2 linked regions of the Styela clava genome follow. The protein of the gene in region 2 interacts with the protein of the main gene of each other region in a biochemical or structural test. Links are inferred from orthologs where the notes say so. Each region holds a gene or a part of one and is shown on either strand. Other genes may lie near its edges.

Region 1 (9,124 bases), on a different chromosome or scaffold from region 2:
CGTTGTTGTAAGAAACGTCGGCATTGTGTCGTCATAAATTCGGGGCTAGCCCCGATGATTTAGTAAAAGAAACAGAAAACAAACGCGTCGAGTGGAAGATAAAAGAGAGAATACGATATACAATGAGCAACCGGGGCAAAATCGGCGTCGCCCCGTCGACGTTCGGCGAAGGCTTTGCGAGCGAAAAATGAACCATGTCGGGAGAATATGGCTAGTGTAGACAGTCTGTGCAACCGATATTGAGGTATTTTTCGAATATTTTTTATTATACCGAAAAAACAACCGGGGCATTGCCCCGGTTGGCCCTATTGACGCGCCGCCTCTGGTGCTAGCCATGAGATCGTTTACATTCTTTAATTTTTGTAGCAACTGTTGCGACAGCTCGTTAAATTAAGAACAATTTTCCCGAGAAAATTTATTTCATCAGCTTCTGGAATTACCTATGTAAAACGCAGGCTTTAAACTTTCGGCATGGTGTGAACAGGTATCATAATACCAGTTCAAATAGTACCTGATTTAAACGTATGCATTATGTTAATGACGTTTCACAAGGAAGGCGATATGTGTTTTTCATCGGCTCATAGTGCTAAGCGTTATTAATACGCCCGCCACCGCACATCTGATTACTCTGCGTGGGTTCGCAGGTTTGACTTTTAATCCCATGTGCGGATGGTCCTATCCTAAATCCGACAAAATTATTTCACGAAAGTCAGACCGTTTCCCTCAGTACTGTATAAGAATGTCACAATTATTTCCTGCTGATTTCTCAAGCTCATTTGCTGCTAAAATCGAATAAAGAAAACTGGCAAGCGGCAAATTGGCACTCGTTCACAAAGTACTCCGTCTGTCAGATCTAAACATAGCGTTTATAAAATCACCTCATGATCTGCTTAATAAAGACGAACCCATAGCATAACGACCATGGGCCCCAAATTATAATAATACATCAAATTTATTAATATAAATACATAAAAGATCAAAAAATACAGGATTGTATGCTAGAATTCAATGAAGCGAAGCGGTACAAAAGGATGTACAGGTCAGCAACTATTTGAGCTGAACTAAAAAGTAAATGTGCAATGGAAGAGAAGAACAGAAATCAGGATAGAATGCACCTCACAGTTTATTATAATGGGCGTTGAGGCAAGTTCATGATGATTGTTGTTGAGCACTTTCATCAGAATCTAATTCACTTGTGTCTCCATTTTGTTCAAATTGTCTACTTGAGTTTTCAAGTTCTCGAACTGAAAACATATCAATATATCAATTGCAATTTACAAAAATATTATGTGTTGGAAATTGCAAATTTTCACAAGAAATAATTAAGAATTCAACAACAGTCGGTCCCTTTCTAAGTGAGATACCCACAACCATTGAAACTGATCTCATTTTAAAAGTTTGCATAAGACCAACAGCGAATTTAATATATATACCGGTATATGCCTAACGGAAATACTCATTTTCAACACTTACTTTGTTGCTCTAATAGCCTGTTTTGCCGCTTTAAATCATCTATATCTTGTTGATGAGTTACATTTTTCCTTTTCATGAGTTGAATATAGTCTGTGGCTTTATTTAAAATTTGTGCTCTTGATGACTGTAAAACGAGAATATCGGTCAGAGACCAAAGACTTATCGATCGAAAGTTAGGGGATCCCCGAAACAGCACTCTTACTCCATAGTGACACCTTGTGTCCCATCACTAATTAATTAATAACTCGCTAATTATACAACATAATTCGCCCAAAATCAATAGGCTTCTGGTCGTGAGATATCGCTGGTATCTAACAGACATACAGACAGACAGACAAATACCTATCAACATACTTACCGATTAAAATCGATAAGTAACAAAGCTCATAAGTATTTGTCTAAAACTGATTATCCACATAATATTGATTACAATTTAGAAGTCACCTTTTCACCCTCTAATGATGGTACAGAATCACGAAGTCCATTAAAACTTTCTTTTATATGATCTCTTCTTTTTCTTTCTAAAGCATTATGATGAGCTCTTTTGTTGGACTTAATTGATAAAAAAAGTTTGTTATAGTGTACATTCACTGAATTACATTAAAGTGGCAACCAAACTTATTGCTCTTATCTAAAGACAATTTTCAAATCTATGGCTAATTCATAAAAACTGTTCAAAACGAATTGATATTTTTGTGAAAACCTATTGGAAATCGAATTCGATAAAAGGATCGAAATCGATAAAAGGATAATTGTCCATCAGCGAGTCGAGAAAGAGATATTAACAAAGCTAACTTTGACTCACCTACCAAAATAAAAAACGACGAATGTAAATAAAGGGTTGAAAACAGTGTGCAAGGTGCGGCGGTGTGGCTCATCGTGCTAAGCGTTTGGAATACGCTCGCCACCGCACCTCTAATTACTCTGCGTGGGTTCGCAGGTTCGAATCCCATGCGGGATGGTTATGTGCGAGAGGATTGCTGGACTCCTCGCCGCCGTTGGGTGGTTCCATGGAATGGTAACCGAACGAGGGGCCGTGGTTCGCCATATGGTTAAGCCGTCTTATCAGCTTTCCTCTCCCCCGGGATAAATATGTAAATCTTTTCTTATCTATCTTTTCTTAGTGTGCATGGAGAAAAAACAACTTATTGTCAATTAAACATAAACACAATATTTCTGAATAATTTGTATAGGGTGTCCAAAAAGTTTTGCCCTATTATAAAGTTTTTATAACCATTTTTTTTTTTAATTATAGAAATGATTTATAGTCAACCTGTATCTAATTGGATGTTATAAATGTTGGATTTTGTAGTCCCCATTTAGCATAAAACAAAATTTATTCAAATTTGCAATTGAGGTTGCTATGAAATCGGGCGAAACTTTTTGGACACCCTGTATGACAGAAATCAAAAAATGAACAGAGAGAAAGTATCTACATACAGGGATAATATTGTTGTTAGATAGATTGTTGTTTATTAAAGCTGAATCTGCTTTTTGTATATAAAATTGATAATACAGAGTACAGATTTCCCTTCAATTGAAATTAAGTATGCAAATATTGGGGCAAACACCATGGCAGCGAGAACATTGTGAAATAAGTTACATATTTAGGCAAACATTGCATATGAAATGTAACAGAGATGATTCATGTCAGCATGGGGGCATTTATTTGCTCTTCATTTTATCTGCATGTCAATAGTACAACCACCCTGTAACACACTTTCGTAACAAACAAAAAACATCTCTGTAAACTCACAGTTCCCATAGCTGGACTTTCACGATCTTCATCCTGAAACAAATTGTTGCTGTGTTTTATTTTTTGCAGTCAAAAGATATTTTTAAAACTTTAATTTTGAAATTGTTTGAAGTGAAGTATACAGTTAATGTCACAATTTCATTCTTCTATCATTTGAAAGCTTTGAGACTCTGCTGTGAGTCGGTACAGGGTAACCCAAAAACAGAACCTAGGTCATTTGGAACACATTCAGACATTCTAGAGAAAACAACTTTTGTGTAAAAATAATCCAGATTGCTGGAACTTTTAGATAAAATTATACACAAACAGAACTTCATTTTTGTAGAATGATCAAGAACTTTATGGATACTATTTTTTTTGTTACCCAAGGAGTTTGATTAGAAGCATTTCATCATGCAGAGCATATAATCTGTCAATCATACATTACAAATACTTTCTCATTACCTCACTTTCAACATCAATATCCACATCATTCATTTCATCATACGATTTTGTGTATTGGTGATCCAGCTTGCTAGTTGGTATTGCCAAAAGATGGAAATAATAATCCTGTTACCACAGATCCATGAAATAAAATACTAAAATGCAGCTTATGATCGGATCAGAATATGATATTAAGTATCGATGCTTTTGTGAAAGCAATCCAAATAAACAAGATATTAATAGCTTTTTATATGGATAAGTAAAAAAAGCGAGGTTACTTCAACACGCACTTGGCACAACAGAGATGCCATGGTCAAATTCATCCGCATAATGTTTTTTATTACAGCTCCTCTCCGACCATGACATTGATCTTTTTAACGAAATTACAAAACTGGTGTTCAACGATACGAATTATGAAAAGAAACAAAATTCTCAAAAACAAGTGAGCATAACTTTTTGATGGAACAATTTAAATTGCTGTTGATGAAAAGTGATGGACAACAGAGCATACTATGGCAGTATAGAGTATCCGTAATAAATAATATACACAATTCATATTATAATCAGGAAAATATAACAACTAAGTTTCCAAATTGAATAAAAAGAGGCTGACAGACCATTGAAAGATATTACAGTGGAAGGGACTCAATTTGGTATCTGATATCTTTTCCCACAAATTTGTGAACAAGCAGATTTTTGGATTGCTAAAATCCTAGAACTGCAGTAACGCAGCTGTAGCTGCTGTTTTTTCAGTAATATCAAAAAACCTAATTGCAATACACTAAATACATGAGACTCATTTGTTCACTCAAGATCTGAAGATTGCATTAGGAACACACTACAGACTGACAGAGTCTTGCATCAAACAACAATATTCCAGCAGTTCAATGATAAATACTGAAATATATATACCGTTACAACTATTACTCTTTTTCTATACACAGTCGGTTATTTTGAAGAAAACATAATTCAGGAGTACACCATACAAACTTTACTTGAAGTAGTTCGATACTAATAACTACAAAACTATCTAAAATGTCATTGAGTTCTGGAATTCAGAAAAGATATACTGGTACCCTATTCTCGCTTTTTAAGCGCATGATGTTATGACATTTGCAACTATTTTTCTGATGACAGTTCAGCAGTTAGGGTAATTCAGTCCGTAGATGTTCGTTTCAAAAAAAACTAGAATCAGTTTATTCAAACCACCTTGGTCACACAAAGCGAAATATCAGAAAAATTTCTCTTTTCTCTCAACTCAATTCTGTAATTCTGTTTTTTTACCTTTATTCAGATCTTCCCAGTAATAAACAATAGGAATAGAATAATTTGAACTATTTATACATTCAAAATCGAGTCGAGTAGCCTAGTTGGTTAAAATTAAAATAAGAATGCTAACAATCAGACAATGGTTTCACCTGTTCACCGACAGACCCGAGACGTTTGGAGGGGTTCGATTCTGCTGTAATAATTTACTACAGTACCGGTACTAGAATATGAACCCCTTCAACACAACAGCTTGTCTATATAAGATATTTCCCATGTATTGCGAAATTTAAGATGACGATAAAACGGGAACCAACACCGAGACTAAAGGAAAGCCAAACAAAGCAAACGACTTATGAAAACTACGGTATTCGCTGAAGTCTCACGCCTAATACACCTAATACACGTGCCCTCCTATTTCATTTTCACAACAACCTCACTTCTCTCACTTCTGTGTAACGGAGCGGTCTGATTGGTTGCGAATCAGTTAACTTCCGCGCTGTGAAAGCAGGTAGGGACAATAAAGAAACAATGTTTAAAGCGCGCCTCGGTATAAACTCGGTGGTCAACGCCTCACTATGGGTTACCGCTGGTCACTCGGTGGGTCACGTGTCCGACTGAGTTGGCCGGAGGCCGTGAGCTTTCTTGCAATTAATTTGGTATATAGTAAACCATGTCGATCATACCGCGAGCTGGACTAGTGGACTAGTCGGCTTGTAAAAATTATATGGGCGATATTATTGCCAAATACGTTTTAGTTAAAGCTATACGTGTTATACCAGTGCATTTACTTCTGTCGAAACTGGAATTGGTTCAAGCCGCAAGAATTGTCTTCCAACAACGCACTGCGTTGACGCAATGCGTTAACGCAGCAACGCACGATTAAGTTAAATAAACAAGGTTTTAAGGTGCGTCAACGCAATGGTGTGAACATATGTGAACGGGCCCTCATGCGCTGAACCCACGTGTTTTGTTTGCTTTTAATGGTCTTGTTTTGCAACTAATACTTCACTTTCGGGTTCGATTGATATCATTTATATGTACCTGTGCAAATACGAACATTGCGTTCATATTCAAGAAATTGATATTTGCTAATAAAGTGAAAGATCGAAGATTTTTATTTCTTTTCAAGTTTTTTTTCCTCGGTAATACACGCGATGTATACTTTTTTGCATATCTGTTAATCTTGCTAGCCATCCGTGCATGTATTTTATTCAACATATATTTATGCAAATACGGAATTGTATTGCAGTTTTTTTTTTTATTTTCTTCGTAACGTGCAGTAAAGAAGACTTCATTTTTTGGCGCTACCATACATGAAACGCAGAACTTGGCATGAAATTTCCGCGCTGTCAGGATACGTGAATATATACAGAATATGTCCAAATCAAGATGAGACCAAACAGGCTAAATGTAGATGAATGCTTTATTACTTTCTTTCGACATTGAAGGGAGGGAAAGCAGAGACAGTTCAGTTCATCAAAATTATTATGTTTGGGGGTCGCGGTACTAAAAGAGTAAATACCAAAGCAATCAAATATATGAACCGTTTTGATAGGTTTAAAGATGGAGTAACGAGGAACCCCTGAAGAAATGGAGAGCGCTTATCTGTTAATCTGATGGGCATGATGGAATTTAAATGGCGAGCTCATGTTTTCCCGTTATGACGCAATAAAGTATCTAAACACATGTTTTGCGTTTCTACTCGTCATAATGTTACCCAAACAGCTGATTACGGATAGCATCTTACCTGGTAACAGCGACAGGCGAAGCAACTTGATCGAGGGACAAATTATATTGCAAAATGGTACGGTGATTTTGATTATATTATTATGTATTTCAAATAATCTTCTTAATTGTCTAAAGTTCTGTATGGATTCACCCTTTTTGCAATGAAATTCCAACTGTTTTCAAAGTTTACGGAAGTTGTCTGAATGATTTCAGGTGCAAATACTGTTTACTATTTATAATTTTGAGCTGAATTAAGTGGGTCTTACTATTTAGCAATGTAGGTGAAATGATGCAGCTTATATAAAATGTGCATTATTATTAAACTATTATATTGTTTTTTTGCTAATGGAATCCGGTCATTTGCAAGACTCGACCAAGTCAAGTTCCAAAAACAATTTCAGACTAGAATTATTATCAATTATTTGGGTGCACAATTTAATGTATTGAGTTTTCATCCCATTTGGTTATATTTTTCTATCAATGAGGTTCAAAAGCGTAACTTTCTTTAGTGACGTAATGTCTTTATACTATTTTTGAGGTCGGAGGAGTGTCTATGAATACTGCTAGTATTGAACACCACTTGAGAGAAATAGGATTCAAGTTCAACGATTGGTATTCTTTTCTGGATCTTGATAATTTTGATTCGGACCATCTTGTTGAAAATCTAACTACTGAAGTAAGATTGCTGTTCGTTTTGTCAAAAATCCTTCTGTATATTGTATTGTTTTATAGCTTTTTGTTTAAAACTTATAAATCTGAAATGAGGAAAGTGACTTCGCACATCTGTAAGAATGCTGTAACATCATCTGTGAGGTGAACGCTAGTGCCGTTTAGTCGAATTATAGGCATCTACGAGTAAAATCCTACCGCTGAACATGGTTGTTGCACGAACACGAATAAGCTCGGCCTTGCACTACGATAAATAAGGTTGTCTAGCGTCACTTGCGTTGAGGATATTTACTACGTTTTTTTTAAAGTGTCTTCCCAATACTTCCAGGGAAATGACGATCGACCATTTCTTTGGAGTAATGGTGAATTTATTGAAAAGTGCAACAACGGGGAAATTTGCATCATAGGTAGGTTTGCAGTATTTTAATTTTTCAGCAGATGCGGTTAATAATTCCATTAGATGCGAGGATCTTTAAAATGATAAGCAGAGATGTGGGAAACACAAATAAATGAACAGACTGCCCACATTTAACTAAAATAGAGAAATAGCGGCTCCTGATGTACTATAGCCCTTTGCTTGGATATACAATAATCCTCACGAAAAAGAGGCAACACCTACCTTGGCTTAAGCTATATACCTGTTGAATGAATAGTTCTGATGGAAATAAGTAAAAAATACGCAAAATAAAATTAATTATCAATGTTCTTTAGCATTGAGACAAGCTGAATCATTGTTTAACTTGAGTCAGTTGATGTTTGCTCTTTATCACGGATCGCTACAAGCTTGTACTTTCTTGGATTTGCAGAAAAGCAGACCTCCTCGCGATATTCGACAGCGTGGATTCACTAAACTTGGTAATTCATCCATTTCAGCAATAATATTGACCTATAGTCCAGGGATGGCGAACCACTGACCCGCGAGTCACAAAGTGACCCACCGCGTTTTATTTGTGACCCGCCAAGCGAAGGCACAAATAAAATAAATGCTAACATATCAGTGATAAAAATTGATGAAACCGGCCTTAAATTAATCTAACAATAACTAAACTATTATAATGTACCGTCAGTTGGACAGTCAGGGCTGCGATAGCTCAAATTCAAAATGTTGATTTTTGAGCCGGTATGGTAATTTTCAAAACCCCTAATCTTGGACGCATATATGCACTGTTGTATACCGTTATTCAGCTATTGGGCCTGACATCGTTTATGACATAACACTACAATTGATCTGTTCATTTCTCGCAAGGCTTGTCTTATTCGGAAGTGCATCTGCAGACTGTTTTAGGGGTTATACGAGAACTGGATGCCTCTTTGCATTTTATTAGTTTCTCGCCTACAATGCCGCTGAGAAAACAAAATCTTCCAGAAAGAAAAATCTATAAATCTGATATAACAATGGCAATGGCCTTAATGTGGTTGGACGCTGATCCAAAATTTTACCACTATCAAAGCGGAATTACCTCCAAACACTAGAACTGTAAAATAATTTAACGCATCATCCTAAACGTTTTTGGTAATTGCGTTTTTTTCGTACTCTAATATCATTAGAACCGAGTGCCATAAAGGGCCTGATAGAAGTGCTGCATAAGTAAAGCCCAAAACTATACCAACACCAGCTTATAAGATTTGTTTCAGAAGTTTCTTATAGATACAAACGTGAATTAAATATCTGTGACCAACTCTCTTCTATTCCGCGATAAAATTATAATTTTTGACCCATTCATTGAAAAAGGTTCGCCATCCCTGGGCCCTATACTATGTTGTTTTCTGATCGTGCAATTTGTTATTTATCTTGGAAAGTTTTTT
Region 2 (8,358 bases):
ATAACTATGGTTCATACATGTGTTAAACGAAGTCGCTTTATAATGAATTATTAGCCTTGTGTCGTGCCCCCCCCCTTGAACTGCTTCGTGGCCCCCGGTTGAGAACCACTGTAATAGGGTATGAATGCCGTTTTTTTTTATGTCGGTACGTAAGCTATATTAGCATGTAAATTAGCTTTACATAAATTTAATACAAAAACTTACGAAAATACAACAAGGCTAGCTGCGATGCACGTTACCAATTCGCTGCCGTCGTCCATGGCGGGTTATAATAATTTCAACCAAGCTCTGCCATGATATATTCTTTGCTGCAAATTCTATGATGTCATGAGTTTCAGACACGCCCTTATTTCATATTCTTTCGTGTAGGCTACATCGATGAGGACATGCCTTCATTGTGTAGGCCTACATCAATTTCTGATTTTGAACTTGTCCGTGAAACTGAGCGACACTTCACTAGTAAATTATGAATAAGGCGTCGTTCACCTTGGAGGTTTTTCGTAGCAGCCTGAGATATTTCGAAGCCAATTGCAAACACAGCCTAAAACGATATCACACAGAAGTACTCCAAGTGTGCGATATCCGTGACGAAACAAGTGTACTGGGATTTAAGTAAAATCGTCCAGATAAATTTATACCTGCTGTGCATACTGAACATGGAGAGACAGCTATTTTATGAGTTGTTTAAACGGTTCCATTACATTTGAACCCACGACAATTGCACCTATGGAAACTTGCATCTACGGATATTTGAACCCATACTAACCCGAACCCACAACAATTGCACCTAGGTGCATACTATTGCACATATGGAAATTTGCATCTACGGATATTTGAACTTTTAGCACCCGCATATAGATTGCATTGAACCCGCGGATATACGGGTGCAAATTTACGTGGGTTCAAATGTGCCGTCACCGTTTAAACACGAAAGTCTGAACACATGCGATTAAATTTCACACAATTAAAATGCTGTTTCATACGAAACTCCATGATAGAAAACTGTTTCATCGGACCTTCTTCGAACATCTTCACCGCACCCCAAGGATTCGATCGAACACGTTTAAGAAATACTGGTGATACATAAACTCATTACTCAACTCAAAAGAGTATATCTATGTTAGCCTTGAAATTCTATTTCGATTGTGCCATAAATATATTGAACACCCCCATGTTACATCAGATACATCCGTATAAACATACTGTGTAGGATAAGTATGAAAGTTTGGCCACATTCGGAAGAAAGCCATCTGCTTGGCAGTAATCATTACTGATAAACAACATCACTATTTTGTCTGAGCACTAATCACTTGTTGTTCGCTGTCCGATATAAGAACAGTTTTGTCAAACGCATCTCCTCTTGCCACGTCGAGCGTCTAACCCCGTTCGCGGATCTGTTTAGTTTTATTTTCGTTCGTTGTTGAAAGGTTATCGGAAGATGGTGAGTATTATAGTTACTAATCGCTACTGATGCAAAAAGTCAGCTAGATGAGCGAAACATGTGGGATTTTTATGTGGGTTTATTTCACTAGCCAAAGCTGCTGAAAGGAATGTTTGAGGTGAAATAATGTACAACTAGTTTATTGATTTTTTAACTGTCTGGCGCGGGCGTGGAAGGCACGGTGGTTCGTAACACGTCGAAATTTAAAAATTCCCAAAGCCTCTTTACGACATACCATATAAGGCCATAGTTCCTATCATTGTCAGGAGTGAATTTGTATTACAGCGCGAGTGTATTTCAATTCACGTTGGACAAGCCGGAGTTCAAATTGGAAATGCATGCTGGGAGCTTTATTGTCTGGAACATGGTATAGAACCAGATGGTAACATACCAGCACGTTCTGATCCCACCAAAGAATGCAGGGCCGACGATTCGTTCAACACTTTTTTCAGCGAGACGGGGTCTGGAAAGTATGTCCCGAGAGCAGTGTTTGTGGACTTGGAACCAACTGTTGTAGGTAAAATGATAAAATATAAAAGATAACTTGATTTAAAACATACAATCCGTGTCTAATAACCTAACCATTACAGACGAAATCCGTTCCGGCAAGTATCGACAACTGTTCCATCCTGAACAACTGATTACTGGGAAGGAAGATGCAGCGAACAATTACGCGCGTGGACATTACACCATCGGTAGGTAGTCTCATCTAGAGAGTATTTTTTTTTGACGATTATTAACTTTTCGAGAATTTTTAGGCAAAGAACTGGTTGATTCCGTTTTGGATCGAATTCGAAAGCTCACTGATCAGTGCACCGGTTTACAAGGATTTCTCATTTTCCATTCGTTTGGCGGCGGAACTGGGTCAGGATTTGCCTCCTTATTGATGGAGAGACTCTCTGTAGACTACGGTAAAAAGTCGAAGCTAGAATTTGCTGTCTACCCCGCTCCCCAGGTAAGATCTATCAATGTGACAAAAGCGTTATCAGGTCGGCTTTTTTCCTGGCCTTTAATTAGTAGGCTTATTGGATTTGGGTGTTTCAAGGGGCAGTGCCCAATATAATTTTTTTATGTTTTCCAAGGTTTCGACCGCTGTTGTTGAACCATACAATTCTATTCTGACCACTCACACAACTCTGGAACATTCAGATTGCGCTTTCATGGTCGACAATGAAGCCATCTATGATATATGTCGACGTAATCTGGACATTGACCGCCCAAGCTACACCAATCTGAACAGACTGGTCGGCCAAATTGTGTCTTCTATCACTGCATCATTGAGATTTGATGGCGCACTCAACGTAGATCTGACAGAATTTCAGACTAACTTAGTGCCATATCCACGAATCCATTTTCCTCTAGTTACATACGCCCCTGTGATATCGGCTGAGAAGGCGTACCACGAACAGCTCTCAGTAGCAGAAATCACAAACGCTTGCTTTGACCATGCTAACCAGATGGTTAAATGTGATCCTCGCCATGGAAAATATATGGCTTGCTGCATGCTTTACCGAGGTGATGTTGTTCCGAAAGACGTGAATGCAGCAATAGCCAATATCAAGTCTAAACGCACGGTGCAGGTATGTCAAGTGTGTTGCGAATAAGTGGTAGCTAGATATTAATCTTTTTTATATTTTAGTTCGTCGACTGGTGTCCAACTGGCTTCAAGGTGGGCATAAACTACCAGCCTCCGACTGTCGTCCCGGGTGGCGACTTGGCAAAAGTACAGCGTGCAGTTTGCATGCTCAGCAATACGACTGCCATCGCTGACGCTTGGGCACGTCTGGATCACAAGTTCGACTTGATGTATGCAAAACGAGCATTTGTTCACTGGTAGGAAATTTATGCACGTTTGTAGGTAGGATGTAGATTTTTTCAAACACGAAGGCGGATATTTTCAATTTAGTATTTTTTCCCCGAATTTCATTCATGCAAACTTTGAAACGTCAATTCATAACCAGTTTTTAAGATTGAAATGCGATAATAAATGAAGTTTCGTTTCGAAGGTACGTCGGCGAGGGCATGGAGGAAGGAGAATTTTCAGAAGCTCGCGAAGACCTTGCTGCCCTGGAAAAAGACTATGAAGAGGTTGGTGTCGATTCTGCGGCTGACGGCAGCGCTGAAGAAGAAGAGTATTGAGCAGACTTTGAAAATATGCCTTCCAATTGCAATATAAATTGTTAGTGTCCCTATTTAACACGTTCCTGGCATATCTGCATCAGTTGTCGAGATTTTCACGCATTTTCCGAATTTTGTATAGTACCACTTTTCCCGAAACGCTTGTTCCCAGAGCGGACACTTTGATCAGAATACATGCATTTCAATCAATAGACTAAATCTTAAATGGCTTGTATGGTATTAGCTTATGAATGAAATAATTGAAGCAATAATTGTGCCTTTTTCACGCATATTTGCTTGGGAACTATTTTGAGGCGCACGTTGCAGGTGAAATCTTTCTGGAGTCGGGCCTTTGACAATGCGTTTTTTTTGGTGCTTCAATTACTCGAGTTTACGGCTTTCGTGAAATTACCCGTCCGTCATGTCGGTTATGCGCATGGGTTTGCTTTTGAGTGAGTGGTAAGTAGTCGGCGCCCCGAAGTGGGATACTTTCTCGTATCCATAATATTAGATTTTTAGAAAGGGTAGTGTGATATCCCTTTAGCAGTTCTTATTGCGTATGAATCTGGGAAATAAAATCTCGTTTCGGCCGGCTTCGCACGTTTGGAACTTCACTCATCGTTGTCACGATGGGGAAGATAAGCGTAAAGGCGGCTTTATAAATCGGAATTCACGGCATGATTGTCCAAATTCGGTTTATGATGGTAAATGACCTACTATTCGCCATCAGAAACTATCAAACAAGCCAACAGAACTTACAAAATGTTGCTACGTGGCTAAAATGCTGATTCTTGTCAGGTTAGAGGCATCGCTGTACAACGAATTGAACAAATGTGGGTTTCGCGTTGGCTTTGATGGAATTAATAGTAATCGAAAATCGTATTCTAATTGGATTCGGTTCCATTAAATCCTCAAATCATCCCATTGCGTGAAATTTTTTTGTAAGCAAACACTCCACTTATAGCGCGGAAAACGTATGCCATAAAACGGTGACCGTACATTTGAACCCATGTACATTTGAACCCATGCGTATATCCACGGGTTCAATCTATATGCGGGTGCTAAAACCCATGGGTTAGGGTTAGTATGGGTTTAACTATCCGTGAAACAAAAAAAATTCCATAGGTGCAATAGCATACAGGTGCAATTGTCATGGGTTCAAATGTACGTGGGTTCAAATGTAATGGAACCCCATAAAACACTCGGAGCGGACGGATGCCGTCTACAGAACAACAACACAGGCTGATTGGAGTCTTATATGACGTACAATCATCATACACCAGTCAGCTGATTTCGCAGAGAGGCGTGGGTGTCGCGTGTTTGTTTCTTCGTGTTGAGCGACGCGCTCCGCATTGCCGATTTTCTGTTGGAAATGGCGGACAGGGGTTTCAAAATTTAGCGATAGCGACCTTGTGCTCGCGTCTCTCTTATTCCACTATTGTTTAGCAGCGGTACCCCGCCTCTTCGATACGCGTTTAAAAGGAAAAGTAGGCGCAGGCGTGCGAGACATGTGGCCTCACTGGAGAAGAAATGCTTTGAATTTGATTGGTTACCGAGTTTTTACGTCACGATTTCTTTGTTTTTGTGTTTAGCCCAGAGGTAACAACCTGACACGACGAGGTTTAGCGGGCGACCTTAGAGCATTTATAGCAGATTTATTTTTAACGAAATATTTGATTACAATTAGTGGAATAACGTGAAACTATTTTATTAAGCAAGTAACTTAGAATATTGACTGTTAATCATGTTGCGATCAATGAATGCATCTCCGACCAGCGAAAGTGATGACGATACGAAGGGGCTGGGGTTGGAGTTATTGATTGAAGCTGCAAACTATTTAGAGAAATGTGACAGTAAAAGGCAAAGAGGTAATATACTGACAATCAATTTGTGCATATTTTCCTCAATACCATTCATTTTAAATATGTAAATCGAGAAATTACAGACCTTTATCAGATGATATTTTTCAGTTTTCTTTTTTTATTCTCATTGATTATTAGCACATTAAGTTGTTGTTGGTGATATATTCTAGTATTGCATTTTACACTTGTGTGATCAATATCAGTTATAACTATATTTCTGATAAAACTGGAAAATGTACCAGTTTATAAAAGTCACTCACACAGGTCATAAGTCAGTAAGTGCGGTCATTCTATTTTTCTGCACTCAATAAAATTCAGTTTTGATCAAATACATTATCAATATTTATAATAGGCTATATATTGGTGGTATTGTCAAGAAAAGTTGTAAAACTTTTATACACGCATTGATACAGTATTGCAACGTGCATTAGAGCGTTTTGACTATTGCAGTTGTTACAATAAATACTTTCATCAAGTTTTAAGTAACGTATCAAACTATTCCAGAAGTGTCAATTGATTCAGCAAATGTTGCTCAGTTGTTTATGGCATGATGTAATAATTCACATTACAGTACAGCACACTATACAAATCGCGTGACATTGTCCCGTTTCAGAGAAACCCATTTTACAGATGATCAGACACCCCTTCTTTGGGAGACGTCTGGACATTGTTGTCCCTCAATATCGGTAATAATGCAGTATAATGAAGTTGCGCAAAATACTACAAAGAAGCGCACTCTAGTAACGTCATCATTGAATTCCTTGGGAAAAAATAATCCGATTTACAGAAGGAAAAAAAATTCTACCGTAGCATTCGAGAGTTTTTAGCAAAAAACGGCAATTTTGGTCATGTGACGGCCTCGATTAATTTAGATTTTTATTGAAACAAGCATGGCACGATATGAAGCATCTGACGTGGTCCCAGACGCCCCTCGTTTGTGAGACACATAGAGTGTTTGTTTTATTGAGCCAAATGGAGGGAAATTCTTGGAATTTGGATAGTGTGCTGTACTTTAGGTGTAACTTTCAACTTTCTAGGTATTTCTCTGTATTCAGATCATCGCAAGGTTTTAAATATATTTAGCATATTGCATTTAATAAGTATTTCAGCATATTGCATGTTGACTAAAGATTTTGGTTAAAAAATATTTTTGTCTGAACATTGATAAACAATATCGTACCTTATATAGGGTGACTCAAAAAACAGAACCCATAAATTTCTTAATTACTTCTACGAAAATATTTTAAAATCTGAACACGTAACTTCAGTTTGTGTATGATTGTACCCAAAAGTTGTAGTAATCTACGAGGCTTTGCATAAGAATTATCTTCTCTCTCTCCTTCTCTGAGTTCTGTTTTTGGGGTCATACCATATAATGATTCATATTGTGATTGAAAAAGATTTTGATTTTGGTGACAAATATTTTTTTTTATTTCATACAGAATCAGATCATGGATATGCATCAACTTTTAAATACGGTGACGATGAACCGGCTAAAAAACGACTGAAAAGTTCAAAGAAAAGTCAAAGCAGGTATGAATATTGTGATCAAAAATCTGTTAGACTCTTGAATAATATTGAATACGGATATTTGTTCTAGTTATGAATTCAATTATCCTTTTATATCAATTTAACATTTTTGACATGGTATTTCTGAAGTACTATAATGCTCTTTTTGTTTTCAGGACATCCCATAATGAACTTGAAAAAAATAGGTGAGTGGAGTTACTTTAGCCCCATAGGCTGGATTATCATCCGACTATTTAATTAAACCAAGATTTTGTGTTGTGGTAACTTCATTCTCGACTATCCATGTACCGGTAATGAAAATTCATAAATACTGACCTAAACTGATGCATTCATTAAAATTGCTCTTCCCCACCCTGGCATGTTTCAAATATTGAGCAAAGGTTTTAATTGTTTCTGTGATATATGATTGTATTATTTTGATACACAATTTAGACGTGCCCACCTACGAAACTGCCTCGATAACCTCAAATCAATCGTTCCTCTTGGATCTGACTCAAACAGGCACACTACCTTAGGACTGTTGAAAAAAGCTACTTCATTGATTAAGGTTGGTGGAAGAAATATTTTCAATTTGGATTTTCAGAATTAATTCGTAATACTTTTTGATAGTACATATTATAAAAATGTAATTTCCTGTATTTATAGACTCTCTTGCTGTGAAATTATTCAAGTTAGATACAGACTAATTTATGCTGGGAAAACTTTCGCAAGGCTGAAGGTTGTTATGGCTTTTTGGTAGCAGTTTTGAATATGTATGGATGATCTTAAATAAAATAATTATGAAAAATTATCATTCTTTAAATTTGTTAATATTTTAGGACCTTGAGGGGAAGGAGGTTGGTTATGAGAAAGAAAAAGACAAACTCGGCAAATATAATGAACAATTAAAGCAAATTTTATTTCGGTTGGAAATAAAATTTGAAAGACTGCGTCGAGATTCAACCGGATCTACTTCACTGTCTGAGTGCTCAAACGATTCTGATAAAGGTAGGTGTATTTTTGTTACAACTTATTTAGGTTCATAGCAATGCATGCACAACTAGCAAGAAGCGAACAATATGGCAAGCCAACATTTTGAATGTATATACAGACAAACTTCATCAGAGCGATTAATTTGAATAAGCCTTTCAGCAACCGCCTGCTATATTTAGTTTTATATTATGCACTAGTATATACTCCCTCAAGTAGTTTGTAAGTAGACAGTTAATTTTATCAAAAGGTTCTGCTTCCACCATGTTTTTATGCACAACATTTTGTATTCTGCAGAAACATTTGAACATTTCAGTTAATAAGTTTTGAATATTTGGTTTCAGAATGAAACATTCAAATTTTGAAATACTTAACATAAACAGATAATCAATGGATATTTCTGCCAATGAAGCCATAATTTAATAATAAATCAAATAA

What was found.
Region 1: the proteins of max dimerization protein 1-like (region 2) and protein max-like form a complex in vitro, tested with the Homo sapiens proteins (4 studies listed by BioGRID, with this or other methods). The link is inferred for Styela clava from reciprocal best matches to the Homo sapiens genes MXD1 and MAX.

Annotation. Positions count from the first base shown.
Region 1 is NC_135255.1:8,056,551-8,065,674, reverse strand, and holds protein max-like, read right to left. Parts: upstream 3,908-9,124; 5' UTR 3,707-3,907; coding exon 3,674-3,706; intron 3,263-3,673; coding exon 3,230-3,262; intron 2,026-3,229; coding exon 1,918-2,025; intron 1,598-1,917; coding exon 1,474-1,597; intron 1,245-1,473; coding exon 1,150-1,244; 3' UTR 934-1,149; downstream 1-933. Other genes in the region: uncharacterized protein LOC120330631, read left to right, coding at 6,723-6,725, 7,188-7,325, 7,647-7,725, 8,030-8,173. UniProt on the Homo sapiens protein: Transcription regulator. Forms a sequence-specific DNA-binding protein complex with MYC or MAD which recognizes the core sequence 5'-CAC[GA]TG-3'. The MYC:MAX complex is a transcriptional activator, whereas the MAD:MAX complex is a repressor.
Region 2 is NC_135257.1:12,297,684-12,306,041, forward strand, and holds the start of max dimerization protein 1-like, read left to right. Parts: upstream 1-4,772; 5' UTR 4,773-5,303; coding exon 5,304-5,427; intron 5,428-6,863; coding exon 6,864-6,954; intron 6,955-7,106; coding exon 7,107-7,136; intron 7,137-7,383; coding exon 7,384-7,498; intron 7,499-7,769; coding exon 7,770-7,938; intron 7,939-8,358. Other genes in the region: tubulin alpha chain, testis-specific-like, read left to right, coding at 1,439-1,441, 1,727-1,958, 2,032-2,136, 2,200-2,396, 2,524-3,021, 3,081-3,274, 3,448-3,580. UniProt on the Homo sapiens protein: Component of a transcriptional repressor complex together with MAX. In complex with MAX binds to the core DNA sequence 5'-CAC[GA]TG-3'. Antagonizes MYC transcriptional activity by competing with MYC for MAX binding.